Linked DNA regions of Schizosaccharomyces pombe. Changing the gene in region 1 together with any one later gene gives a genetic interaction. Each region holds a gene or a part of one and is shown in the gene's direction. Other genes may lie near its edges.

The links.
Region 2: of spd1 (region 1) and rad9, a mutation in one rescues a mutant of the other (synthetic rescue), as found in Schizosaccharomyces pombe (one study listed by BioGRID).
Region 3: of spd1 (region 1) and cdt2, changing one suppresses a phenotype caused by changing the other (phenotypic suppression), as found in Schizosaccharomyces pombe (3 studies listed by BioGRID, with this or other methods).
Region 4: of spd1 (region 1) and rad26, a mutation in one rescues a mutant of the other (synthetic rescue), as found in Schizosaccharomyces pombe (2 studies listed by BioGRID).

What each region holds. Positions count from the first base shown.
Region 1 is NC_003424.3:5,408,275-5,414,954, forward strand, and holds spd1 (ribonucleotide reductase (RNR) inhibitor), read left to right. Parts: upstream 1-4,168; 5' UTR 4,169-4,214; coding exon 4,215-4,589; 3' UTR 4,590-4,945; downstream 4,946-6,680. Other genes in the region: histone lysine H3-K36 methyltransferase Set2, read right to left, coding at 144-2,540. UniProt on the Schizosaccharomyces pombe protein: Regulates the ribonucleotide reductase activity through its mediation of the nuclear localization of suc22, the small subunit of the ribonucleotide reductase. Delays the progression of the G1-S phase transition, thereby ensuring the G1 phase is complete.
Region 2 is NC_003424.3:1,711,669-1,719,469, reverse strand, and holds rad9 (checkpoint clamp complex protein Rad9), read left to right. Parts: upstream 1-3,753; 5' UTR 3,754-3,933; coding exon 3,934-4,038; exon of another isoform or gene 4,039-4,091; coding exon 4,092-4,425; exon of another isoform or gene 4,426-4,482; coding exon 4,483-5,096; exon of another isoform or gene 5,097-5,152; coding exon 5,153-5,380; 3' UTR 5,381-5,550; downstream 5,551-7,801. Other genes in the region: bfr2 (traub family ribosome biogenesis protein), read left to right, coding at 1,750-1,759, 1,802-1,849, 1,896-1,995, 2,057-3,257; ribosome biogenesis protein rlp7, read right to left, coding at 5,687-6,313, 6,531-6,653; rpl13 (60S ribosomal protein eL13), read right to left, coding at 7,630-7,801. UniProt on the Schizosaccharomyces pombe protein: Acts in DNA repair and mutagenesis. Involved in promoting resistance to ionizing radiation and UV light, as well as regulating cell cycle progression after irradiation. Repressor of entry into mitosis that is activated by chromosome breaks.
Region 3 is NC_003424.3:2,033,268-2,041,056, reverse strand, and holds cdt2 (WD repeat protein Cdt2), read left to right. Parts: upstream 1-5,352; 5' UTR 5,353-5,406; coding exon 5,407-6,879; 3' UTR 6,880-7,101; downstream 7,102-7,789. Other genes in the region: U3 snoRNP-associated protein Snu13, read left to right, coding at 1-121; SPOM_SPAC607.02C (uncharacterized protein), read left to right, coding at 653-708, 757-1,125, 1,172-1,442; mitotic cohesin complex non-SMC subunit Psc3, read right to left, coding at 1,537-1,941, 1,990-3,589, 3,640-4,049, 4,098-4,193, 4,232-4,344, 4,390-4,654; SPOM_SPAC17H9.18C (uncharacterized protein), read left to right, coding at 7,102-7,419. UniProt on the Schizosaccharomyces pombe protein: Substrate-specific adapter of a DCX (DDB1-CUL4-X-box) E3 ubiquitin-protein ligase complex required for DNA replication during mitosis and meiosis.
Region 4 is NC_003424.3:4,447,389-4,456,397, forward strand, and holds rad26 (ATR checkpoint kinase regulatory subunit Rad26), read left to right. Parts: upstream 1-3,216; 5' UTR 3,217-3,457; intron 3,458-3,537; 5' UTR 3,538-3,726; coding exon 3,727-4,476; exon of another isoform or gene 4,477-4,531; coding exon 4,532-5,197; intron 5,198-5,252; coding exon 5,253-5,681; 3' UTR 5,682-5,981; downstream 5,982-9,009. Other genes in the region: SPOM_SPAC9E9.06C (threonine synthase), read right to left, coding at 12-80; GTPase Ypt2, read right to left, coding at 1,527-2,129; atd1 (aldehyde dehydrogenase), read right to left, coding at 6,172-7,683.

The sequences.
Region 1 (6,680 bases):
ATTGTATTTAAAAAAAAAAATAGTATTAAAATATTACATCAAGGAAGAAAAAAAAAACTAGACACCAGGTATTAAAGACATGCAATATTTGGAACTATAGTATGGTAGACGTTGCTACTTGTCGCAGTTAAAAATACTGGCGATTAAGCAGCTTTTTTCGGGGATTCGCCAATACTGGGTGAATCTGTAGGAGTTGTAGTCGCAGTGCCAGAACGCGATACAACTGTGTCCAAATATCGAAATGCCCAAACTCTCAGCTTTCGCTGCTGAGAGTCTGATAATTCATCTGGTAAAGCTTTTTCTTTTTTGGATAGAACTAACTGAATATGCTTTTTCAAGATAATTTCAGTCATTTTCTTTACTCTCAATTTAAATTCAGCTTTACCAAGCTTCTCTTGGTATCTAGCTGTTTTGTTAGCAAAAAATTTTGCCAAAACTGCCTTAAAAGCAATGCTTTCAGGACTATGCGAAGTTAAATGATGATCAATTGTGGCATCCTGAGAGCTTTTCGTCTTCTTTTCATGCAACTTTTTGGCATGTCTTTTCAAACTTTCTTCGTAAGCAAGACGTCTCTTTTCTTCTCTTTTCTGCTGAGCTATTCTTTCTTCTTCCTCCTTCTGTGCCTTCAACACATTTTTCTGATTGACACTCTCCATTGCCGCTGAAATAATCTTGTTTAAATCTACTTTATTAGCTTGATTGCTGACTTGTTCTTGCTCATTATTTGGTGTAGTTGTTTCAGAAGGAGTGTCAGAGTTAGAAAGACGACGACGTTTAGGGAAAGAATTTTTACGAAAAAGGTTGTGTTTTGAATGGCTTTGATAGTCATTTCCAAACTTGGAACGTGAACGACTATCACTAGGCCTAGAAGAATGTAATGCTGGATGTTTCTTGCTCAAATCTTCTGTTGAATTATTGATTGCAGATTTTATATCTCCCTTATCGCCACGTTGTGGTTCCTGATCCCTTAAAGGAGGATTACTTTGATTATTGGAGGGTTCTGCGTTCGTTGACTGTGGAGCAACTTGACCAGGCTTCCTTCGGGGAATTCGATAAGCTATCTCCAAAGATTCCCATTCTTTTAAAAGAGTTTTGGCATGATCTTTGACCTCCTCGTTCTCATGGTCGCAAAACTCTTGAACAACGGGCTCAATATTTGAATCTTGGATTTTATTTCTTGTTAGGCGTGGCCAAGATAACATGGTTTTTATAGAACGTAGTATAAACTCAATATCAATGCTGAACTTCTTCAGCATCAAACCAAAAATGTTGTAACCACGTAACGCAATGATCGAACGGCATACACTAGGATCTGAAGTCAAGAAAATGCGTTCCATTAACTTTCTTGTTAATAAGTCATCCTTAGTTTGCAGGAGAACGCCAATCACTTTAGTAGCAGACTCAGATGTCAGAGGAGTAGGTTGCACCTCTTCAATAATTTTGCTAGTTTCGTCAATTCCCTTTTTACGACGTTGTCGACGTGCAGTGATGTTTTCCCAGCTATCCTCTTCATCTTCAATACCAAGAGCCTCTCGGACATTCTCAGGTAGTTTCGATTGAGCCTCAGTTTGCGTCTTTCCGCCAATATACCCTACACAGCAAGGTTCTCCGCAATAACAAGGTTGGGCTTGTGCACCATATCTATCGACATTATAGTCAAAAGTAAGCTCTTCACCGCGAATAATATCTCTTTTACAAAATATACCCATTCTTAGCTTATCTCCTACCATCCATTTATCAACATAACAATTAGGTCTACAAGAGTGATTGCAAAATCTTGCGAGCGACCCCCTTTTAGTAGCATCAATATATTCCCCCTTTTGCAGCATCATGAAGTAAAAGTGTTTAATTCCCTCACTATCGTATTGTCGCATACGTTTACGAAACTTTTGTTCAGGTATAACTTCTCCAATGTATTCGTAGACAAATGTGTCTTTGGGTAAATTGGCATCAGCGCGCAAACCAAACCCTTTCTTTTCGGTTAAGAAAACATCCACCTTTGCAAATTCATGTCTTTGAAAGCGTTGGTTTTGACAGGATGGTCCACAAACGTTATCTTCGTCCGTACACTCTATAGAAGTCATTCTATTAATACAATTGGATCCGTGCCCACAAGCAACATTAACTCCATCTACCCAATGAGGCCGACAATCGCAAATCATAGCTTCGTTTTCTGGAGGCTTACCAATATTGGCGGAAGCATACTGACATTCTTGAATCTCTTCGAACGTAGTTAGCGCCTTATCTTTCGCAGAATCCAGGTGATGAAAAAGTTGAGGAGGAAGTGCCTCTTTTCTAACATATTTGCTTTGAGACCGAGAGGATGCAGACGATGGCGAGGACGTAGAAGGGGAAGGAGCACTTTCGTCTTTATTCATCCCTTCGGCATCCTCTTTACTTTCGAAATCATGAGATGACGAAGAAGATGGTGATGAACCGACTGCCTGGACAGCGATTGTGTCTTTTGACCAAGAAGACTTCCTATCAACGTTTTCCTCATTCAAAGGAGTTAAAACAGAAAGAGATGATGCCGTCTGCATTGTATGATAATGGACAAAAAGAAAGAGAAAGTTAAAAAATCTACAGTTTTATTGAACAAAAAGTAATTGCCGAAGGAAGCCAAAACAATAGAAAGAAGACCAGCTGAAATTTCACCGAAAATCTTCTTTTTAGAAAATTTCCGAAAATATCTCGATGCGTAACATATAGATCTTCTAACGTTTCAAAGTTTCGTGTCAAAGAAACAGTGAGATCAGGAAATTGTCTCAAGGAAGAAGTTGTGGCTGTTGGCGGCGTTCCTTCTTTACTCGCGGAATCCTCGTAGGGGCTCACAGTACCGGAGTGTAAACGACAACTCTTGACTTTAGTGTTAAATATTAAAGAAACCTATTAAAAGAAAAGGCTTTAAAATCTTTACTTTCATTTCATTCAAGCATCTACAAAAAATCACCATCACGCGCAACATTTGAATGCCATTCTTTTCCAGAAATTCCATAATAGTTGTTGAAGAAATAACACTGTTAGTGTAATAAAATTCACTCTGTTTTTTACACTCGGCGCCTTATGTAGCGAATATCTTTGAATTAATAATATCAATCATACTATGTAACTGTAGTAGGTTGTTTATCCAAAAAACATATGGTACGCAAAGATAGACACTAATTATCAACAATGAATGAATAAGAAAAGCTTTTTCAACGAATATTTTGAGTGAGGCAGTCAGCGTGCTCATACTGGATAGACCCAGAACAAGTAAGTTTACAATATGTTCAATTTACAAATCCAAGCATGTGGTATTGAATTATATTTGGTATTCTTTTTGTTCCCTTGGTCTTATTAATGTAAAATCATCATCTACCTGCATCTATTGAAGCAGTAATTAAACAGAAGTTTGAGAATCGGTAAAGAAAGAAACTAGGAATGTATGTAATAAAGTCATTTTATTTTGAAAATGCTCATCCTGTTAATTCTAGGTAGATTCTTTATTTCTTCAAACCCAACCACTTTTGTTAATATTGTTTAAACACATAATATATACATTGGCGAAATTGAAATAATGCTAAAATTTTGTCAGAGCATTAGTCATTGTTAATTTTAAAAAGCTATTAAACAAAAATAAAGGCTAAGAAAAAAAGATAAACCTATTCCATATGTTTATATATGTGTATCTTATCTTAAAAGGTCTTTAACTCAAGCTATACTTACTACAATCTATATGCAGCTACTTGTCCTTCATGGCACGACGGTGCCAGTAAAGTTAATAAGAAAACCATACCGAACAGGGGCCAAGTTACGATGAGACAACATGTGAAGAACAAAGGAAGAAGCGATTTCAAGCTTTGCAAAAGGTTTGACCAAATTTAACGAACAAACGTTTCAGCTGTTACCTTGAAAGCAGTTGGCAATAAAAGAGAAAGCGAATTTAATTGCTTTAAATGTTTTACTTTAACTCTTAGATATAAAGAGTGCGGAAAAAGTGGCAGAACCACAAGAAAACAAGATCTCAATCGCAAAAGCAATAAAACTGCAATTCCAAATTTTGTAGATTTTCTACCATTTATGAATAACGTGGGTTAGTGAAATGTAAAGAGATCCGTGTTCGATAGGCATTCCCCAGACAAATTTGACTGCTTTAAACGTCACAAAGCCGAGTAGCAAACGCTCCCACAACCAAACACTACACAAAGGTTCGTCGACAATTTATTTTGGAAAAAATGCACAGCAGCAAGCGAGTTATGACCACAAAGACTCATGTTGAGCAGCCTGAGTCTTCAATGCGTCCTCAGCTTCCCGAAAGCATTCAAGGCTCCTTAATGGACGTGGGAATGCGGGTTCGTAAATCAATTTCCACCGGATACAAGTCGAAACAAACCACGTTTCCTGCCTATAACCCACCGCTTTACAACACTGTTTCTGAAAACATTGCTTTAAAAAATACCGCATTTTCTTATGAGCCTAACGGTACTAAGCGTCCATTCGAGCAAGCAATTCCTAATTATAACTGGGCCAATCCTCCTCAAGACTTTGAAGAACCGGAATGGTTGAAGCCGTTTGACGTTGTCATGGAGGGTACCAATGAGAGATTATAAGCTAAATGTGAATCTCGTATATCTCTTCTTTAAGGATAATTTGACACCAATCCTCATAGTTCCAATTATTCCTTCGTTCATTAGTCTTTGACTTTGTTGATTCCCTATACCATTAATACATTTTATTATTGGTTTTGTGAGTGACGGCTAAGTGATTTTCTACTAATTAAACCCCCTCTTCTTTTGGGCATTTGTCTCTCCTTGTTAATTAAACTCTTTACATCTATGAATGATCTAGTCATATCTTTTTTTATTTTATCTTATTTGCTTATCGTTTTCTGCTTGACCAACTTATAATGGATTACTTTGTTGTCGTTGAATATCTGAATAGTAATTTTTTTCTAATACGTACATAATTTTTTGAAAGACTCATTCCTCGTATTTCCTCAGTAAATGTCACTTTTTTGGTGTACATGTAGATCGACCAAAGTAACCTGTTGCGGGCGACTTTTGTAACTTGTTATTTCTACTTTAAATCTTTTTCTTTTATGATGTTAGGGCGTTGGTAGGGGTTGTAACGTAAAAGGAAACAATTTTTGATATTTTCTCTACGGCATGTGAAAAGTATTACCCAACATGCCACGGAATTCTACGCTGTTTCAGTAATAAAATTTTATTATTATTATTATTATTATTTTTTTTTTGAAAAGATGTAATAAAATGCTTATATTTATAGATTACAAAGAGACAGTAATAACGTTACTCAGCTAACTAAAAAAGTGCAAACTAAACAGCGAATATGGCAAAAAACAGTCATATTTAAAAAAAAAATAATAATTTGAGAGGGAAAAATGGAATAATTTATTTAAAAACAAAAGATACCATAAAATCAATTAATCTACACATAAAATTTACAACTAGGATGTTATTTTGATAAAGTTTGTTGTAAATTTTTTGGTACTTCTACTCATCCGCTATTAGCTTGAAAAACAAAAGTAATTACTACCGCTTTATGGCCAACTAGTTTCATAGGGAGGATGACTGCATACAAAAACGCTGAAACCCTTTCAAATGAGTCTATAAGACAGCAGTGGAAAACGAGTATTTCAGTTTTTAGGTACATTGCAGTGTTATAAATAATATGTGTTTCTTTTCAGATTTTTTTTACTAGTCAGTTATTGTTATACCAATCAATTCCTGGTATGTTTATATTAAACAACAAACAGGACACGAGGAGTCCTTGAAGTATTACTACATTTCCAGTTCAACGATCTTGTTTCAAGGTAAACAATGTTAAACATTACTGCATAACAAAAATCTAATGACAATTGAAGCAGCGTATATAAAGCGATGCATAAAGCCCTTGTTAGGAAAGGCTCTACTTGCGGCTTCTTAATTAGTATTGATAAAATCTATTTCCATGGACATGCAAATATCTCGCAAGATGGATACATCGATCATTCTTCGGCGACTTGGATACCTCAGTCCCCACAAAATAAGATAAAGAATATTGGGTGTCGGTAGTCAGTATCCTAATCCATCAAAAAATTACGGACATTGCAGACGCTGATCGGTAACATACCAAGAAATTATCTGGTAGAACGCTTATATCCATATTTCCGATGCAATCGGTTCACGCCTGTTACCATTGATCGCTAAAAAATGTATGCAACTTTCCATAAAGGTAGTAAAGACATGACTTATACGCCGGATATATGATGAGCAATTTCATTTAGTAATTCTTTATTGTTTTGTACGTTTTAAAAGTATGACGAAGCATCTCAAAAGTATGAATTGTCGGATAATTGCAGCATGTAAATAAATAGGAGGATTCTTTTATTAAAGTCGACTTTAGGAGAGAAACAGTTTTTGTGCTTTCCCTCCAAGCATAACAATTTGACGTTAGGTTTAGCAGGTCGTTTAGATAAAGAAAGACATCCGCCTCTTTGTAAATCGCTTCAACATCAATTGTAAGTTGCTTACATCTTCTACGCGCCTCCACTGTATACTTATCGGGATCAATCAAATGGTTTCGGACATTTACTTCCTAAAGTAGTGTATGCTACGCTTCGTTATATTACATCTTGGTAAGCATGAAAATGTATATAAGGCGAGTGTTGTTTGCTATTCGATTAATTTCTTCCATCATCA
Region 2 (7,801 bases), 3.7 Mb from region 1:
CCAAAAAAAAAAAAACAAGGTATGAAATGGAATGAAATTAAATTTAAAAAAAATACCTTTACCAAGATTAAGGAATCTTGCACAAAACCTTTGAGAAGAGGGTATGGATGAAGAAAATGAAAAGAACTTCTAATTTAACAAATTTAATTTTTGGGGAAAAATGACCCAAAATGGACTAAAGAAAGCCAACCGCAACTTCTACACCTTTTTTTTACGATATTAGCATGAAGAAATCAACAAGGCTAATCAATAATTGAATAGCGTTAGCTTTAAATAAATTCAACGGAAGAAATCCTTGCTTCTCAAGAGAACGGCTCGAGTTTGCTGTGTGCGTGCAAGTTGAGAGAAATAAGCGGGAGGCAAATTGGTGGAGCAAACCACATATCTAATTTATACAACCGAAAACATGGTTTTGACTGTGAAGCCGGCAAAACTAACAAATGCATTTTACTGACTAAAATATCTTTCATATCTTTTGTTTTTAAAAACCGCATATTGGCAAAAAATTTCTAAATCGATAGGTAGATCCTTCGAAAATCCCAATTGATCGACTAGTAAGCGAGGCCGAATAATATGGCGATGAATGCACAATTCATTCAATGTTTATGAATGAGCACTTTGAAAATGGATATTCCATGAAAGATAGATAATAGAAAATCGGTATTAAATGTATTTGATTTTGTAGTCTTTCATCTATCTGTCTAATAATGGTTTGCAACATCGATGTTTATGATATTACAAATTGTTTTTAGGAACTTTTTTCTTATAGTTGATATAAAACTAATATAATAGGGTCGAAAGCGATTCATTTTAACTCATCGATTAATTCAAATTTTGATGTGTTAGTCTAATCCTGGATTTATTTACATGGGCAAAGATTTTTATCAAGGACAAATAGTATTTCAATGCCCAATTCATTTGGTTCCAGATTTTTTGAAAAACTTTTTTTTAAATGTTTTTATTTTCTTTCACATATACTCTGTTACCGATTCGATTTAAAATATTATTGAGCAAAAGCAGTATGCAAGGGTATTGGAATAATATTGACAAAAGCAAGGTATGAAACTTTAAAAAAAACAAATTAGATTTTATTTTATTTTTTTAAGTATAAGAGTTTACGTCTCGTTCTTTTACAGCAGCACCCCATTTTCGAATCGTATGTGTAACGAAATTTTTGAATTTAATTGTAAACATTACTTAAAATCAACACTGTTTTAAGATATTTTTTTGCTTTTTAAAAATAAGCAACAAGTTAAATAGAGACCGCTTTTATTGGAAACAGCAAGCATACACTTACCAAAACTCAACTCCTATTCTTATAACAGTTTTAGAGAGACATAATACTCGTTAGCATAATACACAGTCAAACAATAAAATAATAAATTGGTAATTGTTTAGTTACATTGTCTAGACAGAAAGAAGCAAGATGTGGGGAATTTCCGAGTTTTTACCTTGAGCTTTAACGAACAATTTTTAGCCCTTTAAAAATCGATACTTTAGTCGGTTGCATTCTCTACGTCGTTTTACTAATATAATCAACTCTCGTGCTGTGTTCGTTTTTTCAACTTTTGGTTGCTTCATAAAAACCATATTATTTATTTCAAACAAAGTAATATAACCTCGTCTGTACTAGCTGAATCCGATAAATGCCTTCAAACTTCATTCTTATATTTATTTCATACAATGATAATTTTGCTAACCCACACCCCTTCACTTACCCAGTCCCAGACACATCAAAATTTGCTCAAAATGGGTAAAGGTAAGTTCAATAAGATATTTTTAGGTTCTAATAAATCTTTAGTTTCTTTAAAAGATGAATTGGCAGGGATGCTAAACCCTCAACCGCAGGGTATGTTATTAACGAAAAATTCCGGGATTCTTACTCACATAAATAGAAAGAGACCCTGAAGCTTTAGAGGACGCATTCTCTGATAGAGAGGACTCTAGCGAAGAAGAAAACGATACCTTAGGGAGAGAACATTATGTTGATGTTAGGTATGTTCAAAATTTTTACTTTTGCGTATTTGAGCTTATACTAATGTTTCATATTTTATAGTGAAAGTAAATTACGCTCAAAACAGGCTCCTCAGTTAGACCCAAAATTTAAAGGAAGAAAAACGTCTCGCCAGGAATTACTTAATAGCGGTTCTTTAAACTCTCAATCTTCATCACCATCTGAAGAAGAAGATTCGGAGGAAGACGAAAATGATGCAGTTTCAGAAGATCACGAAAATTTTTCAAGCTCAGAAGCTTCATCAATTTCTGAGGAAAATGAAGATGACGACCAATCTTCTGCCATTCCTGAAAAAGACATGGATCGTTTAAAAAAGATTATAAATGGAGAGAAAAAGCTATCTGATCAAATTCGTACATCCGCCCTTGAAGACATGAAAAAGGGTTTAGCTTTGAAGGAGCAGATGCGTTTTTACGATAATGTTTTAGATACTAGAATCCGTCTTCAAAAAGGATGTAGTCAACTTCTTTCTTCCAGCAACCAACTTCAAGGTGATAAAGTAGAAGCCCGAGATGGTTTAGTATCTTTTATTCAACACACTTTACAGCTGAGGAAAAACTTACTTATTGACTCTGGAGTGGAAATTCTTGACAGTAGATCAAAAAGAAAAGAGAATCCTGTTAGTCTAGAAGAAATTGCTTTAGAAATGAATAACCTTGACGACTCTTTGAATGAGTGGAAAAATGATACTTTAACCAAATGGCATAATCGGGTTCAAGCAGTGCAAGGGATTTCGCAATCTAACAAATTCAAGGCTCTAAATCAAAGTATTGTTCAACAAATCGAAAATTCTATGATTAACAAGAAAGATTTGGTCGAGCGCACTAGAATTGATTACAGTGACCCTAACAACAAAACTTTCAATCCCGAAATTTACAACGACACGGATTTTTATCAATCATTATTGAAGGATTTCATTAATTCTAGAATGGCAGACTCTACTCGAGATGGCACTGTTCGTTGGATGGCTACAAAAAAGCAAAAACAGAAGAAAGAAAACGTTGATACTAAGGCATCCAAAGGTCGAAAAATAAGGTATCACGTTCATGATAAATTACAAAATTTTATGGCTCCCATTGAAGTGACTGTATGGCCGGATGAACAAACTGAAGATTTGTTTAGTAGTCTGTTGGGTCAACAATTAGATTTATCAGAGACAGCTAATGATACAAATACTTCAAACTTCGTGGAGAAGGATGATGAACTGATCTCTTCCAACGACGGATTTTCTCTCTTCGGTTGAAAATAAGCTTGTGCGTGTTGGATAAGCTTCACTATTTGTCTTTTTTTTAATATACGCAAGCTGTGCTAAACATTTAGGGTGCATGATTATTTTTACTTACAGTATATCTTTTTTCGGTTTTAAAAAGGGCATTCGCGGATTTTGGTTCTATTATAATATATTTCGTTTACAATTATTTAGGTTAATAAAAAAATTTAACATATATATGGTTACATAGATGGTCACAATGTCGGGCAATTACAAGTAATAAAGGGTTATCTTGGGCTGAAGGTTTTAGTTTTTGTGCACTTTAGTATTTTAAGCATAAAAGTATGTACGTTTATATGATGTACAGTTGAACTCTTTCTGCTGCAAATTAAAAGCAGCTATAAGTTTCTTCTTATTACAATTCATTGTGTATATACAGATTATTTTGCGATTGATGTTGGCCATTACACTTTCGTACAAATTTCGGCGCGCGTGTCTATACTAATATAAGTGCGTTAAAGCAGGTGCTAGAAAACACCACATTATAGATTTACCTCTGTATATACCAGTTTCAATTCTGTTTGTCAAAAATTGTCGAGATTTATTTACTTCTATTAGCATGAATTAAGAAATTAATCGTCATATCGACTAGAAACTATCGTTATTCGTTCAGCATTCGTCTACATCAATTCACGTACTGGTATATAAAATGGAATTCACTGTTTCAAATGTTAATCTTCGGGACCTCGCAAGGATCTTTACAAATCTTTCTAGAATCGATGATGCTGTCAACTGGGAAATTAACAAAAATCAGGTGTGTTGGAACTTTTTTCAAACCTTACTAAACATTGAAACTAATTGGTAAAGATAGAGATTACATGTTTAAATTCTTCTAGGTCAGGATTTAGCATGGTGACTTTAAAAAAGGCATTTTTTGACAAGTACATTTTTCAGCCGGATTCCGTCCTGTTGACGGGATTGATGACTCCTACAATACGTATTCGTACGCAAGTCAAGCCCATACTATCTGTGTTTAGAAACAAAATCTTTGATTTCATCCCGACTGTCGTCACTACCAATAGCAAGAACGGTTATGGCAGTGAATCTGCAAGCAGAAAAGATGTGATTGTCGAGAATGTTCAAATCTCAATCTCTACTGGTAGCGAGTGTAGGATTATATTTAAATTCTTATGCAAGCACGGTACGTAGTTTGTCCGTCTTATTATTTTATTTGCTCTACTAACGTTTATTCATCAAGGAGTGATTAAAACATATAAAATATCATATGAACAAACCCAAACTTTACACGCTGTTTTTGATAAATCTCTTAGTCACAATAATTTTCAAATAAACTCAAAAATTCTAAAAGATTTGACTGAACATTTTGGTCAGAGAACGGAAGAGCTTACAATTCAACCACTTCAAGAACGTGTTTTACTTACAAGTTTCACAGAAGAGGTCGTACATAATAGAGATATTTTGAAGCAACCTACCCAAACAACTGTTTCCATTGATGGTAAAGAATTTGAACGCGTCGCACTTAATGAGGGAGTCTCTGTTACCCTTTCTCTACGTGAATTTCGTGCTGCCGTCATTTTAGCAGAGGCATTGGGAAGCTCGATTTGTGCATATTACGGTGTCCCAGGAAAACCGATACTTTTAACTTTTGCAAAAGGGAAAAATTCCGAAATTGAAGCGCAGTTCATTCTTGCAACTGTAGTTGGATCAGATGAACAAGAGGTGTCATCTATGATGGGAAATAGATGGCAGCACAGTTCAACACCAGCTTCTCTGTTCAATTCAGTAGAGCGCAACAACTCATTGACTGCTGTAGCACATAATCCCCCTGGATCTATTGGATGGCAAACTGATGTATGTAATTCGGCTTTAGTACTAAGTACAATAATTTATTAACATTAACTTTATAGCAAAGTGACTCATCCAGAATGTTTAATTCTGCGCTTGACCGAAGCGACGAAACTAATGGCATTAAGGAGCCATCAACCACAAACGATGCTGGTCAATCATTGTTCTTAGATGGTATTCCTAATGAATCCGAGCTTGCTGCTTTTAATAATGATGTGAACGATGATGCCGAATTTGGACCAACGCAAGCTGAACAAAGTTATCATGGCATTTTCTCTCAGGAAGACTAGGAAAATCCTTCTTTGCTATGGTGTGTAAAATTATGAACATTTACAGGTGCTTGTGACAACCTCATAAAACACAGCACTCATATTATATAATGTACAATATTTATCAATAATTTAGTTTTTTTTAACTACAAAATTACCCTCATCATACGATACGTTACATAGTAGTTCTAATAAATCAATAAGATAGTGAATAATGTAACCCAATTAATTAAATTCCAATCCACGGCCTATAAAAAGTCTAATATACATTTTTGCATTTTCATCTGAATGCAAAATTTAAGTCATTACACGAACTCAAAGAAAGTTTTAAACTTGTTTCTTAATCAATTCGTTAATTTCTTCTCCACAATAGCCAGCCTTTCGACCCTCATTAAAATGTTTGACCTTTTTCTCCATCAAACTGTGTTTAACTGGAGTCAAAGTGAATGGCCATAAGAATTTAGTAACTTCCTTAAAATGAGAGCCTACATTGTAAATTTCATGAATGATATCTTCAATGGAAATAACATCATATTTGCCCAAGGCCTCCTCAATTAATGCATTATCAGAGAGAGCAATACGCTGACCATTGATCTTACCAAAGCCACGTTTATAAATGAGTTCACGAACAGAATGTAAATTGGGAATACCATACATAACATAAGGTTCGACGATTCGAAGCATTTGAGCAACGGCTTTATTATTTCGCACAAAAACGGCATTGTTAATTCGAGAAAGGCGTAATAAGCGCAGAACTTTGCGAATTTTAGGAGGCATATTCTTGACTCCGGCAATTCGAATAACGAAAAGAAGTTTTGTTTCATCAGGCACGAAAATGTCTCCTTTATTTTTCGCAGATCGATTTAACCTAATCCGTTCTCTTTCTCGTTGGCGGTAGTTATTAATAAAAGTCTCAGCCCTTTTGAAGGTTTCTTTACGATTTTTCTTCTGGGCCTGGAGTAAAATTAGTAAAATGTTTTTAACAATATATAAAAATTGATGAAGTCAAAGGTTTAAATTTAACCAATACAAAATATATGAATCAGCCGAAAGATGGTATTTTGGAGCAGCATCGTCGAAACTAGCAATCCAAGAGTGAAAGGTTCATCTTTTTCATATAAATATGTATATTATGGATATTTCAAACCTGTAGAACAAGCAATTCACATACCTCTTTTTTGGCAATAGCCTGCTCAACACGTTCTTTCCGAGTACGCTCATTGACCTTGCGCTTTTTTAAAAGCACCTCAGGTTCAAGCATAGTCTGTTGTACAACCGGTGCATCCTCCGCCATTTTATCGTCTGTTAGTAACGAGTAGAGGGCACGTTGGGACTATAGACAGACGAAAAATTATAGCTATGAAATGTGACTGCTTTAAGACACATAATGTTCTTCGTTACAATCCGCTAATAAGCGCAAAAAAATTTTGAAGCGATTTTCAAATAGGCTTTGAAATGTGTACTTAAAGGTAAAAAATGGTGTTTAAAAACTATGGCAAATTTAATTTGACAATATAACAAAAATTGCACAATAGTAGATTGCTCCTTCCATATCGAAGCATCTCTTTCTAATAACCAAGACCAAACTTTATCTAATTGACCTTGTACCATTGAAATTCATGTTTAAAAGATATACAAACGATTTTAATAGGAATATTATCAATGTTGAATGTAATCACCTGGTGCTCAAACTCCTCAGGGACGTGGGATATGGAGATGATAAATTTTGCACAACATTAATCGAAACAGTGCGAAAACACATGAGAAGTTGAATAATTGTATTATTAGCCCTTAACTTCTTAGGGTAGCCGTTTAAATGTCATTCATCCTAAACTGAAAAAAAAAATGTGACATTGATGAAATATAGTTTTCCACACGCAATTTATGTAAAATAATCATATACATTTATAAAAATCAGAAAGCAATTATTAAAAGGAAACAATTGATAAACACAAATTTACATATACTGTAAGAAAATGCATGAAAGCCCTTGCAATTCAAAATGAAATTACAAGGTTATTCTATCAATACGACTGTACGACTTACAAACTCAAGAGACTACAATATTTACCACGCTCTTAAACAGCCACCAATGTTATATGCAAATAGGAATTTTAGTGAAACTACTTAAAATTTTTTAAGTGAACTAGCTTCCACTTCTGCTACTGGATACAATACTGTTTGCGAATGTACATAAAAAGCTTAAGTTACCCAAATTCAAACAAAATATTTATACTCCAGTTCTGCCTGATCCATTAACTACAGACATTTTACTTCTTCTTAGCCTCGGCCTCTTCAGCACGCTTCTTTTGGAAAGCAGCGCGAGCACCGGCATAACGAGCATAAGCACGCTCGTTGCTAAGGGTAGAGAAAGCGTTGAAGTTCTTGGCTTCTTCAGTAATGGGCTTGGCCTCCTCAACAGCTTCTTGAGTGATGGGAAGA
Region 3 (7,789 bases), 3.4 Mb from region 1:
GGGACGTGCTTGTGGTGTAAGTAGACCGGTGATTTCAGCCAGCATTACTACCAATGAGGCTAGTGATTTACTTCCTCAAATTCAAGCTATTAAATTGGCAATAGAGAAATTGCTCATCTAAACTTTTGGATTTTGGGAACAGTTTTCTTTTAATCGAGAATAAAATTTGATTCTTATGGAAGCAGATTGTTATCGAATTTTTTATTTTGTTATTGTAATTTTGTACTGTTTCGCTTTCTATATAATTTCAAGTACTCTGTTTGTAGTCATTTTAATTTTTATTAATTAGCTCGCAAAATACTCAACAAGAAAGATAGTTGAGTGTTTACATATAAGAGCATTACGATTTTAATAAAGATAGTGTATATTTGGTGTTTGATATATATATTTTTTAATATATTTTTCGTGTATGATTCGAAAAGTATCTTCACTAAGCTTGCTTCCAACTTGATTCTGAAATTTTTTCTCTCTAAAGCGTTACAGCTTGTCCACTAAAATAAAAAAAGATATTTGTATTCATTAATAAACTTTACTGTTATCCCATGAGTATCTATTAAAACAAATCCAAATTTATCTAAATTGCGATACGAGCTAGGCTCGCTATTTTCCTTTATTACTTGCTTCTCGTTTGTGTTTACTATCCAAGCGCAATATGCCTACTAAGACTAAGAAAAGGTCCGTTCTTGAGGCTGAACGGAAAAAGATTGGGTAAAAAATTTCTATAGCAAGATGTTTTTACTAACATTTGGTTAATAGACTCGATCATGCTCCCAAGGAGGATGAAAGTGTAGATGACAACTTCCCAAAGCAATTCAAGCGATTGCTACAGCAAAAAGAGTACCATGAATCTAAAAAGAAGGAAATAAAGAAAGGCAACCTTAAAAATAAGAAAAAAAAAGATTATGGGAAAATTCAAAGATTACCCGGTGAACGCCTTAGTGAATTTAGTCAGCGCGTAAATAAGGCTATTCCAGTATCTTTTAAGTCTGGGCCGAGCAAAATAGACGAATTTACTGATAAAAAAGAAAAGAAAAAAATAGCGAAAAGAAAAGAGAAGCGTGAAAGAGACTGGAATGAAATTGAGGAAAATTTTGAAGATAAAACATGGGAGGCGGATACTACTGGGTATGTGTATATCACCAATTTCATTTCGTATAAACTAACATATTAGACAATTTATCCAAATTGAGTCTAGAAAAAAACGAAAAAATTCGCCTGATCCGTGGGCTAATTTACAAACAAAACCTTCCTTTGGAGAAACTGTGCAAGCTCCTCCTGAACTTCCGGAATTAAAAATTAAAGAGACAAAGTACTTGGAAAATGTTCCCAAAGTTAATAATATGGGTCAAACAGAATCTATGGCACGACGCCAAGCTCTAGGAAAGCAGCGTTTGGAACTTATAGAGAAATATAGAGAATTAATGAAAACCAAGCGGAAATAATCTTTTTAATAATGAAAAAAGAATTTATTTCTAATGCTGACTTAAAAATAATTAATTACTTTAAATATACAGCAGGCATTAAATCTAAATTTAATTAATTCAAAAACTCATCCACAATAGCAGATAATTTCGGTCCATAGTGCCCTCTTAGTTCACAAAACTGTTGTGAAAATTCTGGTGTTATCGTATTTGACAATGAAACAACTATTAATAATTTACTAGTCAAATCGCAACATACATGTTCCAATAGCCTTCTATTAAGTGGATTTTTGTCCAAAGAAATTTGTGTATGTGGAGAACTTGCTTGAGTCAAACGCTTGAAGGGGAATTGACCAACTTTGGCATATGTGTATAACCATCCCTCAAGTATTTTTAAAAGAGCATCTAAAAATTGAGGTTTTAAAAAGTTATGCTCCTCAGATACACGATTGTCATCGTTGTAATGTGATGCTTTAACACCTTCTTTCATTATCACTGTTTCCAGAAAAGTTCGGGCTGCCTGGTCAAGTTAGTTTCTTAAATCAAATAATAAGTTGATTTTGTATACCTGAAGTTGCAAAATTTTAGAGCTGTCATTATTCATAATATTAATCAAACAATTAAAAACTTTAGTCTCATCATCCTTCTTTTTTTCCTCATCAGCAGGGTTATCCTTCCTTAGAAAGAACCAAAACAATAGACTCTGTAAAGTATTAATTGCAGAAAACTTCAATGTATCTTCATAGCTATTAGGAACCCGCGAAAGAAGCGAAACAAGCCTTTCATATATTATGTCAAACTCAGGATAGTCAGAAAAATCTTTGAGAGAGGTACATCCCTCGATTCTTGTTAAACAAGCTTCAAAAATAACAAATTCATCTTTTGTTATTACAGCATCTTGAATATTAAAAGATCCAAAATTCTTTAAAAATTCGGTTACCGTCTGGTCGCAAATGTCAGTAACCAGAAGCTTCAAATCTTCTTTCAAAGCAGGAATAGAGTCCAACCGTAAAAATAATATCGTGCAACCTTGAATAATTTGAAGATCATTATTGGTTAGGAAAAATTTTTTTAAATTATTAATTAGAAGTTCAAAATGTCTGGAAAGTTGAGGGTCTGTCATTTCTGTCAAATCCATTGAGAATAACAAACGAAGAGAATCATGAAGAAGTGTTGGTGAAGCAGAATTTCTCTCAGTTATTGAATTAATGTAAGGAAGAAGATTCAAATAAAGTAAGTCCTTATCTTTATTTTGATCGTTGGTCGTTTCCGCCGCTTGCTTATTATGCACCGTTTTAGGTGTGATAAAATTGTTATTACAGACAGTTTGGATTGAAGCAGAGAGAAGCTGTAAAAGAATAGATTCCTGAAAATCATTTAGCTTGCAGAAAGAAAGTATACTGTCTATCGGATCTTTTAGAGTCGAGGTATAATTATCAAAAAGTACGAAGTTGCTAATATCCTCCCATGACTGATAGATTGAATCAATTTCACATGCATTAAGTAAAGCTTGTGTTATAGGAGTAATGAAATTACCATTTTTTTGGAAGATTCGTAATAATGTATCATAATCAAAGCTCGATTGGTAAGACAATCTAACCTCCTCCAAAAGTTTACACATTTGGGAAAATTTTATCCAATGAACTGAAAATGTAGTAAGTGAAGTCTGAGAAAAGGCCTTTAGAATATAGTCTTCTTCACCCCATAAATCAATTTTTTCATTCACACTTTCGTCAACCACTTTGCATAAAAACAGTACGGCTTCACGTTGCACCCTTGGATTGATATCTAAAATTAGCTTCAGCACTTTTAAAATTTCAGAATTTTCTAAAAATCCGCAAGTCCTCATAGCGTTACACAAACGAATGCTGGCTACACGAACTCCAATATCGGCGTCCACACAACTCATCTCGAGTATTCTTTCTTTAAATCTAGAAGAAAAATGTCTTAATCCACCAATAAATGAATCTGTCTCAAAAAATTTGCGCAAAACTTTAACTACAGTTAATCTGACGGTAGTGTTTATGTCTGAAAGCATCCATCCTAGGTATCTTAAATAACTTCCTGAAAAAAATATGCTTGGAACAGTATTAATCCAGACCCCAAGCTCTTGTAAGCAATCTACCCTTATTTTAGGCTCCACGTCTCGATATCGATGGACGAAGACACTAATATAAAGGTTAGTATAAATAAATTAAAGCGTTTGAGGGATCTTTACCTATCAAAGTAGTCATTTAAGTATGTAGTCAATGTATCTTGTTGCTTGACTATTTCACCAAGACTGTTATTAAGTTCGTTGATGCGATTTCTATTTACACGAGAGCGCTTTTCTTCTTTCTCGAGCTGTTTGGTAGCAATTGCATGCTCGTTCAATAGTTCTTTAGATTTTTCACATAAAAAAGTCATAATATTCAAACAGAAAACAGTGGCGGTGTGCCGAATAGGTCTCATCGTAGAAGAAGACATGGCAACGACCCAAGACATAATATCTTCAAAAACAGTGCTATTGTACAAGTAATTTCTTATTGACAACTGTGACACAAAGTTGCTTAAAAGACCGGTCAATCTCTTTCTGAAATTCCTAAACTTAAGATTTTTTGAATTTAAAGGATAATCACGAGTAGAAGTCTTAAAGTTGTTAATATACAAATAAAGTATTTTCGCAAAAGCACTTACACGCTCTACAGAAAGTTGAATTTGAGATAGAGTAGCTGAAGCAGAATCTTGATCCTGAACATCAAACACATTAATGGCACGATTGCAACCACAGCACTAAAATATTTAGTAAAGAAAGAAAAGAATGACTCTACCTTTAAAATAAAGTTAATAAGATTTGCAAGGGCAGATTGATTATCTTTTGCATAGTCAGCAAACCACGAAACCGCGATGTCCATGGTATCAACTTTTTGGTCAAGCAGAAAAGCTTTTCAGTGTTAGTAGCTGAAAAAAAGAAGGACTTTATCATTACCAAATAAGTTGTTAAAAATTTCTTCTTGAGGATCCTCTTCAACTATAGCGTTCCTCCTAGAGCGTTTTACATTTACTCCTTTAGAATTTGGCCGTGGATGCCGTTTTTTTGAGCTTATCGTTTTCTCGTAATCATCATCGCTATTTTCTTCAGAAGATGAATTTGAACTACTGCTCATGGGATCAAAACTTTGAGAAAGCATTACAGGGGAAGATTCTCTGTCTCCTCCATCATCATCAGATCCAGTAGTAACAGACTCACTCATTTGAAGAAAAAAAGAAATAATTTATAAATAAATTAAGAGGTGTAATTAGAAATATTGGAAAGAGTGTAATGAATGCACTATTGGTGTTGTACAATGGAGGTTGTTCACAACCTGTAGTTGATAAAAGCACGAACTTGTCTTGTTCAATAGTGTTAGACAGGATAAATGTGTTTGAAAATCCAAGGATACGAAAGGAAATTTATACTTAACGAAGTTATTACATTAAAATTTTCTTTACCTTGATTGAAACAAATATATACTATTTTCTTTTGGGTCCTGCAAGGTGAACAGCTAACTTATATTCACTCCGCGAGTTGAGATTGTAATTTGACTATACAAGTATAGAATTGTGAGTGAAAGATTCTTTTGACGCGTAATATTTTCGATTATTATTAATAAATGAGATATTTGACAACTTTTCGAGCGCTCATTATATCATAGGCAGAAATACGAAAGTCATCCTTTATGAAAAATTAACAAGTAATTAGAAAACTTTTATCCTTTTTATTTATTCCTCAAGAATTTTAGGCTGTACCCATCTGTAATTGCAAATATGCTTAAACATGACTTTGAAATACGCGTTTTGTTACTTTAACATATTCTGGGTAACGTTTGGTGCATGTGATGGATCACGGACGCGTCGCGTTCACGCGTCACGAAAATCTAATATACTCACGCTACCATCCACTACTTAAATTAAACTGGAACACACGACCTCAAAAGCGGATTAAATTAAGATTCATGATTATACCATGAATATGGACATTGGAAAAGCTTTGAGTGATGTTGGTGGGCTTCGAGATATTACCTCACGTGCAAATAACTCATTACCTCCGACTCCTGATTCTTCTCCCGCAGCACCTTCCAAAAAACATAAGCTTTACGACTTCCTAGAAAGCCGAGGAAAAATTGAAACACCTCGAAAACGCATTGTGTTTGAAAAGAAACCCCTGTTACACAAGCCAGTTCATATTCAAAAAAAACCTGCTCAACTTTGTAAAGAACTTTTAATCAGACAACTGGGAGGTTCCCGGTCGCACCCTTTTAGCACAAAAACTTCTCGTCATGTGGGAGGTAGACTCAATCTCGAAACATATTACTCACGACCTTCGGAATGCTTAATGATGCTGAACCAACTCCCGTTCTGTCTTGGATTTGCTAATAACGAGTCTTTATTGGCCGTATGTACTGAGACTGGAGCTCTTGAGCTGTTTGATTCTCGATTTTACGATAGACAGAATGAGGAAAATCAGCCGTCTGCTCGAAGAATCCATGGCTGGCTTGCTCACAACAATGCTATATTTAGTGTTAATTTCTCTAAAGATGATTCATTATTAGCTACTTCATCTGGCGATCAAACATCAAAGGTATTTGATTTGTCAACGCAACAATGCATCACTCGATTGGGACGACGAGGTGTCGATGGATACCACTCTCATTCAGTAAAGCAGGTTAATTTTTGCAATGATTCTCCTTATAATTTGGTAAGTTGTTCTCGGGATGGTTCCATTATCTTTTGGGATATGCGAACACACGGGATAACAATTGACGGTGAGCATTTTCAGAAACCAGTGTTAAGGATAAGAAAAGCACATGAAAATTCGGGAAGGGATTGCTCAATTACCTCAGCTACGTGGCTCCCTCAATCTACTTCGCAAGTTATATCGTCCTGCTCTGCAAACTCGGCCTTAAAGTTATGGGATTTACGAACTGTACATACCGTCCGACCTTTACCTGCTGCTACTACTCCCGAATTAACTACTTCAAAACGCGATTTTGGTGTTACTAATGTTTGTACTTCTCCTGACGGTGAGCGTATTTATGCTGCTTCCAGAGATAGTATCATTTATGAATATTCATCTCGTCACTTAAACTCCGGATTTTGCAAGACTTACAAAGACCCTAGACTCAGAATTTCTTCATTCTACGTAAAGTTGGCGTGCAGTCCTGACGGAGCAACTTTAGCCTGCGGTGGAGGCGTTCAAGACAAGACTAGTGGTGTTGTTGTTTTTGACACAACAAGAAACTGTTCATCGTCTGCTATGCTCACAGGTGGTCATACTAAGGATGTTACTGCAGTTGATTGGTCTAGTGAAGGTCAATTGGCAAGTATTTCAGACGATGGGAGCGTTCGCGTATGGAATTCTTCTCTGCATGGAAGTGCGGCTAACCTTAGAGAAAAGAATTTTTCGGAGATTTTTTATTGGGGATTTAGTGAAAAATGAAAATTATCACGCATAGCAATGTCTCAATATTCGGCTTGTTTCTCTTGAAAAGAAGACTATAAGTGAGGCTTCATAATATTTTGTCAAAAATAACGACTATTCCCTAATGCATTTGAATATTATTAGGATTCTTTCTTTTTCCATATCTATTTAATCCTTTGATTTGTCATTTTTTTGCTTCCGCTGGATGCTTTATAAGCTTTTTCTGTTTACCAAAGCTTAATGCATAAAATTAGTTTGCAATTTTTTTTTGTTGACAATTATTTTTTTTTTTGGAAGCAATCAAAATACCAGTCAATATATGCAATCCAAATTAGATGTTTTTTCCTCACCGTTAATCGAACTCCTATTCCTAAACAAACGTTCAGTTTAATAGTTTTTTATATACTAATAATGATTATTCAACACTTAAAAGAAATCCATTATTTAATCAGCGCTAGCGCTAAATTATTACTAGCAAGCAACTATTTACTAGAACTTCTTATTTCTCATAATATACAATTTAGCCCTATACGTTCATTTTTTATAATTATGGTCTAAGGATATTTTACGAAGTTGCAAACAATAATAACTAATTCTATACAAAATAGATGTGGCTAGCTATTTCAGCTTTTATTTTACTCATTTTATACTTATACACTTTATTTGGCAATTTGTTGTAACAATTAAAATAAACGCAAACTACAGATCATAAGTTGTCGAAATGATTTTGGTGCACTTCAATTGGCCTCGAACATTTTAATTTTTATGGATTATGGTATATTAAATTTATAAAACTAAGACATGCCACGAGCCTTGTTCCTAAAAATGCTCATTGACGTTACTAATATACTCGACTCTGTTCATTTAAACACCACGATTAACGTATTTTTAACAAAGGTAATAACACTTTTATCATATTAACGCACTT
Region 4 (9,009 bases), 960 kb from region 1:
TTGTGACATACCACAGCCTCTTCAAAAGAAAAATTTGAAGATCCACCACGAGTCGATAAATAACTAACTTGGCTAGACATTTCGCTATTTCCCAAAACAGAACGTTGCTTGTTCTTGGTAAATAAAATCCGCCATTTTTCAGAGAACCTTGCAATCTTTCGTGTTATCAACAGTTTACAAAATTGAGTGTACCAACGTAAATATTTTAAAGATAGTATCGTTAATTTTCACTATAGTAGCTCTTTGAGTTGGTTTTTTTCGAATTTATTATTTTCTGAACCCGTGGCTATTGCTCACTACACTACTCCATTTTACGGTATGCTTCGCTACATTTTTTGTTCTTAAGTTTTATATTTGTCACCCAAAACGGAAATGTATTCGTAATTTTTAATATATCCTAAAATGAAAATATTATAAATTGAATCAAATTTCCTGCGTTTCATATTTCAATTATCAGCTATCAGCTGGTAATTGTACATTAAGTCCAACCTGACTATCGATATATATATAATTGCATATCGTTAAATTGTCATGAAAAGAAAATAGTAAAATCCCAAGTTGAGACTTACCGCAAAGTAACACATCGTTATCTTGGTTAGCAATTGCGTAGTTAACAAAAACGTAAACAAACAAGAGTATGAGTATGCCAAATTACTCTACATTGCTGAAATCGTTTTAATCTTGGCAATAATCTGGTACATCGACTTTCATATAGTAATACGTTGTTTAAAAAGATTAAGATGCTGAAGTGGTAATCTTGGAAAGGCTTCTGTTGTGGTCTCGTTGCAAGATAAAAATAAAATAAAATCTACAATGTAACAAGGTAAGTAGTCATCTTACGTTTAAATGAAGATGAAGATAAGGCAATTAAAATATGTAAAAGATAGGCGTTAAAAGACGTTTCGATTGATGACAACCTAATCAAATCGGTATAACATGATGAAAAATGTAAACTTGGTTCAGTGGCCCAAACATTTAAAACAATAGGCAGCAGCCGTAAAAAATAAATGAGGTAGATCAACAGGACGAATTAGATGGTGCTTGATTGCTCGTTGCAAATTGATAAAAGGATTCGCGAGAAACATTGGAAAATGGCCCCAAGAAAAAGCAAAGGCATTACTTTTTGAAATGTTAAGGAAATTGCAATGAAAAAAGAGACGTTGAAAAAAAAAACATGGGAATTGATTATATTCCAAAATGTAAACTCGATCTAATCACAACAACTCGAAAGCATATCAAAAGTTGATTGAAGCTATTAGGCATAAATTTTACGTTATGAAAGCATTAAAAAGTAAGAGAAAGTGTACAATATAGAGAAATATTATAAACTTCCCAACCGGGTAGAGTTGAAAAGAGTAAGGAAACAAAGTAGCAATCCGGAAACGATAACCAACACAAGATATAAAAAGCAATGCCAATCTCCACTCCTTCAAGCTCTCCACACACTTCACGACTATATACGTATCGGCGGTGCTAATATCAAAAACTAGCGAAAAAGAAAATGTGACAAGATAATAATAAGGAGCCTAACAACACCTCTTCACCGTACGATCGTTTCCGAGGTCAACGTTATTTGCCTGGTTGGAAAATTCGTTTTCTGCATCAATCTTTTGTTTTTTTATTTCCCGGGCAAGGGTAAAAAATGCCTCATCTACATTGACGTTCGTCTTCGCACTAGCTTCTAAAAATTTAACGCCCAGCTCATCGGCTAACGCTTGTCCCTGTTCAAAGGAGACCTGACGCTGATCCTCACAATCACATTTATTTCCAATAAGGATTTTATAAACATTTTCACTAGCATGTTGTTCAACGTTACTAAACCAAGTTCGGACGTTATCAAATGATTTTTTATCAGTTACATCGTATAACAATAAAATACCCATTGCACCACGATAATAAGCAGTGGTAATGGTACGGAAACGTTCCTGGCCAGCAGTGTCCCAAATTTGGAGTTTGATACGTTTTCCATCTAGTTCAATCGTGCGAATCTTGAAATCAATTCCAATCGTTGTGATAAAAGAAGGGGTAAACGAGTCTTCCGAAAATCTCAGAAGAAGACATGATTTTCCCACACCTGAATCTCCTATGAGAAGTAATTTGATTAAATAATCGTAGGATTTTGTAGACATGGAGGAGTGTTGCTTTTGCCAGGTGGTAAGTGGTAGAATCTACTGGAGTCCCTTGAGATAATGCCGCAAAAATACACTTAAATTTATTAATTCAAGTAATGTTATTGTATAAATGGTACTAGTTTTATTTAAGTCTTTGTTTGTGTTTTTTTATGTTGAAAAAACATGACTTTCAACTTTTTTATGTACGTTTCCTAAGGGCAATAAACTCGAAGTTTTGATAAAGGAAGTCACTATTCTAGGGCACATACATACACTCTTGAGAAAGTAACAAAGATATTCACAAGAGAAATAATTCAGATTTCATGTCAGAGAAAAATCTCTGTCACTAAACAATTTACTAGCCATGGATTAATTTATACGATTTGAATGACTGGTAATATGACTAATATAGTACTGCATTGATCAATTTAATCAATGTTTATATGACTGTCATTGACCTAAACATACTTATAATTAACGCTTTAAGTGTTTTGGTTTAGATTTTTCCTTTTTATTTTTGATAATATAGTAAATGGATGGGGGAGAAACAATGAACTTAACGTTAATTCATATGATCATCATTTTAGGCTTTGTCATTGTTGTTCGAGTTGAAACAATAAACCGTTTAAACCAGCATAAACTATAAAATGTTCTACGATTAGGAGTTGGACTGTCTGAAAATAAATAACTTTTAAATTTTTCGAGGTTATGAGTATTCAATAGAGATTGAAATTAATAATTTCTACAATAAAACAAAATAACAAATTATTTCATTTTATCCATTGATATATTTGGTTAGACTACAATTCGATCTTACTTTTTTAATAATATTTTCATTTTTTTAATTCTTTTATGTTTATTAATTCGAATAAATGATGGAAGCCATTTGTCATAACACCTTAATTTAAGTATAAAAAATATTTTTCTCATGTTTTATTTTTAAAAGCATTCAAACATCATACACTTATTTTATTTATTTTTTATTATTGACAATTCAAATACTTGATTTTTGGCTAATAGTGATTTACAGTACTTGAGGTCTTATTGTCGATTACGTAACTCGTAAAACTTCAAGTTGGCTATTCGATTGCTAACCAAAATGCACTAATACGCCAAGTTCAACAAGTAAATTAAAGATCACAAGAAATACTCATAGCAGTTAAACGTATCGTTAAAGCATCTTATATAGCTGCGCATTTTGGAAAAGACTATCTTATTTATCATATCTGTTGGTGCTCTGCAAAATCAATTCATATTGCTACAAGGGTTCAATTATTCATACAGGAAGTTACGCGATTAAGCAGCCTTAGTGACTGCAGTCATATTCTGCTATTAGTGTTTCGTTTGTATGTGGTATTCATACTAGAAAGAGATATGGTTTTTCGGCCTTATCTTCTCTGCATAATATTGCTTACTAACTGTTAAGGTTTTCCAATTGCTGAATTACGATAATTACAGTTACCAAGGTTGCTGAAAGTATTTGAAACAATTTACGATTTATTATGAATTCAATTCTTTTTTACAGAATAAGAAAAACATTGGGCCCATATTACAATTTGGAATCACTTCAAACAACTATTGTTACGCATAAACGAGAGTGAAAGCTACAAACAAAATGATGGCTGATGAAAGTTTTGACTTGGAGAGTTTGGGTTCGGATGAAATATTTGAAGGCGTGAATTTAGATGAATTAGAGCAACAAGCTCAAACCCAGGTTCAAGCTCAAAGTTCTCAAGTAGTTGTACCGAGTGAAAAGCAAAAGCAAAATTTAAATCTTCCAAATTCATACACCAATTCTTCTCAAAAAGTCCGGGAATCTACCGTAAACTCACAAGCCTCATTATCCTCTAATGACCTTCGAACAGAACTTTTAATTAAGTCGGGAGAAAATGCAATTCTTCGTGCTAACCTTCTAAAACAATCCGAAGCTAATAATGCCGCCCTAGAATCGTTAAATAATTCTATAAAGCAAAAGCAAGATGAATACCAACGGAAATTAGAGGAGCTTAAAAAAGAAATTGAATACGCAAAAACGAAATCCCTATTTCATGAGCGTGAAGCACAGGATGCTATCGAAACTATGAAAAAAATGAAAAGAGATGTAAAGAATTCTCCGATTATGAAAAAATCCCATGAAGAAGATGGTGACAATAAATTGTTATCTTCTTCTGATCAGCTTGCTAAGAGCACAAAGCATGCTGCAAAAAACAGCCCTTCTAAAAAGAAGCGCAAAACAAGTGTTGCTACTGCTGAAGATGCTTCAACGGATAGTGTGAGTTCTAGTATTGCTATATCAGATGCAAGTTTGTCTTTGAGCCTGATGAAAGATTTACTTTCTCTACAAAAAAGAGAAGATTTGTATTTTGTAAGTATTTTTAAACTGTCGTGTTAAATTTTATTCCCTTTTCTTACTTTTCTAGTCTTCTAGAACTTTAGCATACGTATTTGGTGGTTGTATGCATTCATTAGAAACAATTGAAGGAGAGGAGGAAGGTGAATGTTTGTTTAATAACTTGAAAGCTCTAATATACAGTCCCGATCTATCTATGGATTCCTCCAATTATGTACAATCTGTCGTTCAAACATCATCGTCGATTTTAAATTATTCAATGAAAAAATTATTATATAATGCCTCCTTTGCTATAACATCTTTGTTTAATGCATTATTAATTTTGGACCCTAAATCATCCACCTTTATCTTTCAGGAAAATGTCGTTTCTTTAATAAGTGGTTTTCTTCTTAAGGAATACGAAAAAAGCAATTTTTTGGACTCAAAGTTTTACGTTTTAATAGATTTTCTTTATTTATACTTATCTATAGCACGTGAAAGTGCTGATGACTTTGCAAACATTACTAAAGCGGTTGATCCGTCGTTATTCGAATCCTGCATTCGAGTGCAAAATGCTCCTTCTTTGATTAAATGTGGTGTTTGTTTAATTATTAGTTCCACCACTCCTTCGTTTTGCGCTTCAGTTAACTTGTTAAATGCCGATGATAAATCCCAAGAATCACTCATGCAACTTTTCACAACTATGGCCCATATTTTAGTTGTTACTACTAGGGAAAGGATTAATTTTCCTGAATTGGTACGTTTACGAATTGTGCTTATAATCTTTGCATTGCTTATTTCTAACAAATTAGAATGAATGGATAACGCTTCATCGCTTTGTCATATCCTTTTTTACCGTGTTTATACAAATGTCTGGAAACATTGGTAAAGAGATTTTAAAAGTATGCAATCCCTTAATAGTATGCATCGGACTAGCCATCACTTGGTATCATCAGCAACTCCTTTCGTCAATGTACCCTCAAAATGAATGCGTAGAGATTTTAGTATCTCTTGTTCGGCTTCTGTACATTTTATCTTCCGAAGATTTATCATCAAAATTTATGTTAGCTGAAAATGCGTTACAACCTCGTTTCGTTTATGCAATAGCATGCTGCGCATTCGGCGATACTGAACAAAAAGCGTTTGGCAATTTGGGTGAGGAAATGTATTTTCTCACTACAGAATTGTTGGAAGTTTGCGTCTCTCCCGAAGAGCTGGAGCAGTTGTACACTAATTTTTAGATAATGAAACAGATGAATCTATTTCCCTAATTTTTCAAATGAAATAATGATACTTGTTTCTTCAGTGTTGTTCTTTCCCGTCCCGCACCCACATCCTCGCAAATTAAATACAAATCAATCTGTTTCCCCAAAGGAATGCGTACCACAAAAACATCCCCATTCCGTTCTTTTAGTAAAACTTACGGCTATATTTACCTGCAAATAAAATCATCTAGCAATTAACGAAAATGAATATATTAAAGTACCACTAACATAAAGAATCATCACTATGTAAATTCAATAAAATGCATTTGAAAGTTCAAATATCAAAACCGTTTTGATTCATAATAAAGAAAATCCGTCATAGAAGAGTTTCAAGAAAAACTGTAAACATTCATAACATAAAGAGAAAAATCCAATAATTCTCTTCACTAGAGTTTTTCTTCATTCTTTATCCATTGAATGCATATTTTTTTATTTTTTTTACAAAAAATATTTGCGTCTGATTTCCTTAAATGGGAGAATCCATTCCCAGGTTGATGTGAACAGCTTTTGTTTGAGTATAATTGGTAAGACCGTAAGAGCCCAATTCGCGACCGATGCCACTCTCCTTATAACCACCAAAGGGAATTTGGTGATGAAGTAAGTTATAACAATTCACCCAAACAGTACCGGCTTCAAGAGCATTGCTGACCTTGATGGCATTGGTAATATTGTTAGTGTGTACACCAGCAGCTAAACCATATGTACTGTTGTTACCGCGACGGATGGCCTCCTCGATGGTCTTGAATTTAATGACGGCAAGAACGGGTCCAAAAATTTCCTCCTTACCGACAGCCATGTCCTCGGTAACGTTGGAGAGAATAGTAGGTTCGACAAAGTAACCGAGATTACCATGACGCTTACCACCAATCTCTAATTTGGCACCATGAGCAATGCCACTCTCAATATAACTAACAATACGTTCATACTGTTGCTTACTAACTTGAGCACCTTGGAAGGTATCTTCGGCGAAAGGATCACCAACCTTCAAAGTCTTGGCCTTGGCAACCATGCGTTTAATGAACTCATCGTAAACATCCTCTTGCACGTAGACACGGCTACCTGCACAACAGACTTGACCAGAGTTGTAAAAGATACCATAGTTAGTCCAGACAGCAGCTGAGTCCAAATCGGCATCGTTGAAAACAATATTGGGAGACTTACCACCCAATTCAAGAGTGACCTTCTTCAGGTTGGAGGAGGCGGCAGCACGCATAACCATACGACCGACACCGGTAGAACCGGTAAAGGCCACCTTATCAATGTCCATGTGAGAACTAATAGCGTTACCACAACGGCGACCATCACCGCTGAGAACATTGATGACACCTGGAGGGAAGCCACATTCAGGAACAAACTTGGTAAGACACAGAGCGGAAAGAGGAGTGAGTTCGGCAGTCTTCAAAATAATAGTATTACCACAAGCGACGGCAGGAGCAATTTTCCAAGCGCACATCAAGAAAGGGAAATTCCAGGGGATGATTTGACCACATACACCAATGGGTTCGTGACGAGTATAGGCAAAACGCTTAATGTCGGTTTCAATGGTTTGACCATAATCCTTATCGGCCCAACCACCATAATAACGGAAACAATCGGCAGCAGCTTGAACGTCACCTCTAGCCAAAGTGATACTCTTACCATTGTCAAGAGTCTCAATAGAAGCGAGGTATTCCAAGTTTTGCTCGATACAGTCAGCGAGACGGGAGAGGCAACGTCCACGTTGAGCGCTGGAAAACTTGCGCCATGGAGCATCGGTCTGGAAAGCGGCACGAGCAACTTTCACGGCGATATCGACATCCTCTTCGTCGGCGTCAGCTACCTCACAAATAAGTTTCTCAGTAGAAGGAGAGTAAACCTTCACACGACCACCGTGAACGGAATCGACATGTTGGTTATTGATAAAGAGACCGACAGGTTGAATGTAAGTTTTTCCTGTAGGAACGGTAATTTCGACGTGATCAACGAGTTTTGTAGACATTTTGAAAAGTTTGTATTAAAAAATTGAGAAAAGGGGTCGTTGTCGTAAATGAGTAAGAGTAATTAAAAAATTAACTAGAAAAAAAAAAAAACCAAAGATAAAAAATGAAGTAGTGGGATAAATTTGGCAGAGCTGAATTGAAATGCAAACACAGGACAAAACCAAAAGATCAGTAATGAAATGGAAAATATGAGGTGTTAACGATTGTATAAAATAATTTTATATCAACCAAAGTAAACAACGTCGTCAAAAAGTTATGGGCGAAACCAAACTATAAGTAAAAGAGCACCTAATACGAAAAGATTAGATGGTCAGAAAAGGACCGGGGTAAATAAACAATGGCCTCTTATTATTCTTAAGAAGAGGGGGATGCAGTTTTTATAAAATGTGATAAAAACCGAAAGACGACAAAATCAATGAATTAAAACAATCAATTGTCGTTGTTAGTAATAATACCACAAAGGAAACCTATATCAATTTGGATGTAGGAAGTGAAGGAAAGACTATAGATAGAGGAATATACTAATAAGAGAATAGCAAGCGTGTTGTAGAAACGAAAAGACCGTGCTGTTCTACTTATTTCAGTGAACTGCAAAGGGGGGCGAATTCAATATTTATAGTAAAAATCATATATGACTTATACGATGATTAGTAAACAAAGCTCCAACTCCTACTGATTAATGGTGACACAAAAGACCGACACCTGGACGAATGATTTCCTATACATGATCTAATTCAAACAACGACGAATGACAAAACAGGACACCTTACCCCATGATGTCAATGCTTAATTTTGGCGAATCAAAGGAAGAGACACCCTCAAAAATCACAAGATTTCATATGTGCTAGCGTACGCAAAGCTTCCCTCCCAAATCTCACTGTGCAATAGTAATATGCTTTAGAGGGAATTGCATACTCGGAAATACAATTCACTATATCGAAAATTTGATATTAACAAACGAGGAACGATGAAAGACGAACGACGTTGAAACTCCGATGCCAGCCAACCTAGTCTAGTCTAGTAGCAAAAAGCAAAGCAACTTCTAGCGCCATCTGCATAGTGCGCTTTCGCTTCTTAAATTTTCTTCCTTCTCTTATTTCCCAAAGAATGCGATGCGCTGAGAAAATGGGAGCACCTTGGGCTAATCTAGTCAAAATGGGTCATTTTCGCAGGAAACCCCATGTTCTTTCGCTCTCCGAAAATCCCAAACTCGCTTTTCATTTGCTTTGCTCAACTTGTTGGTTTTGTTAGCTTCGACCCACTGGTAACTGTTAGTATTCTCTGCTTTATGGCGAATTCCCTTCTCACACGTTCCTGCCCCATCA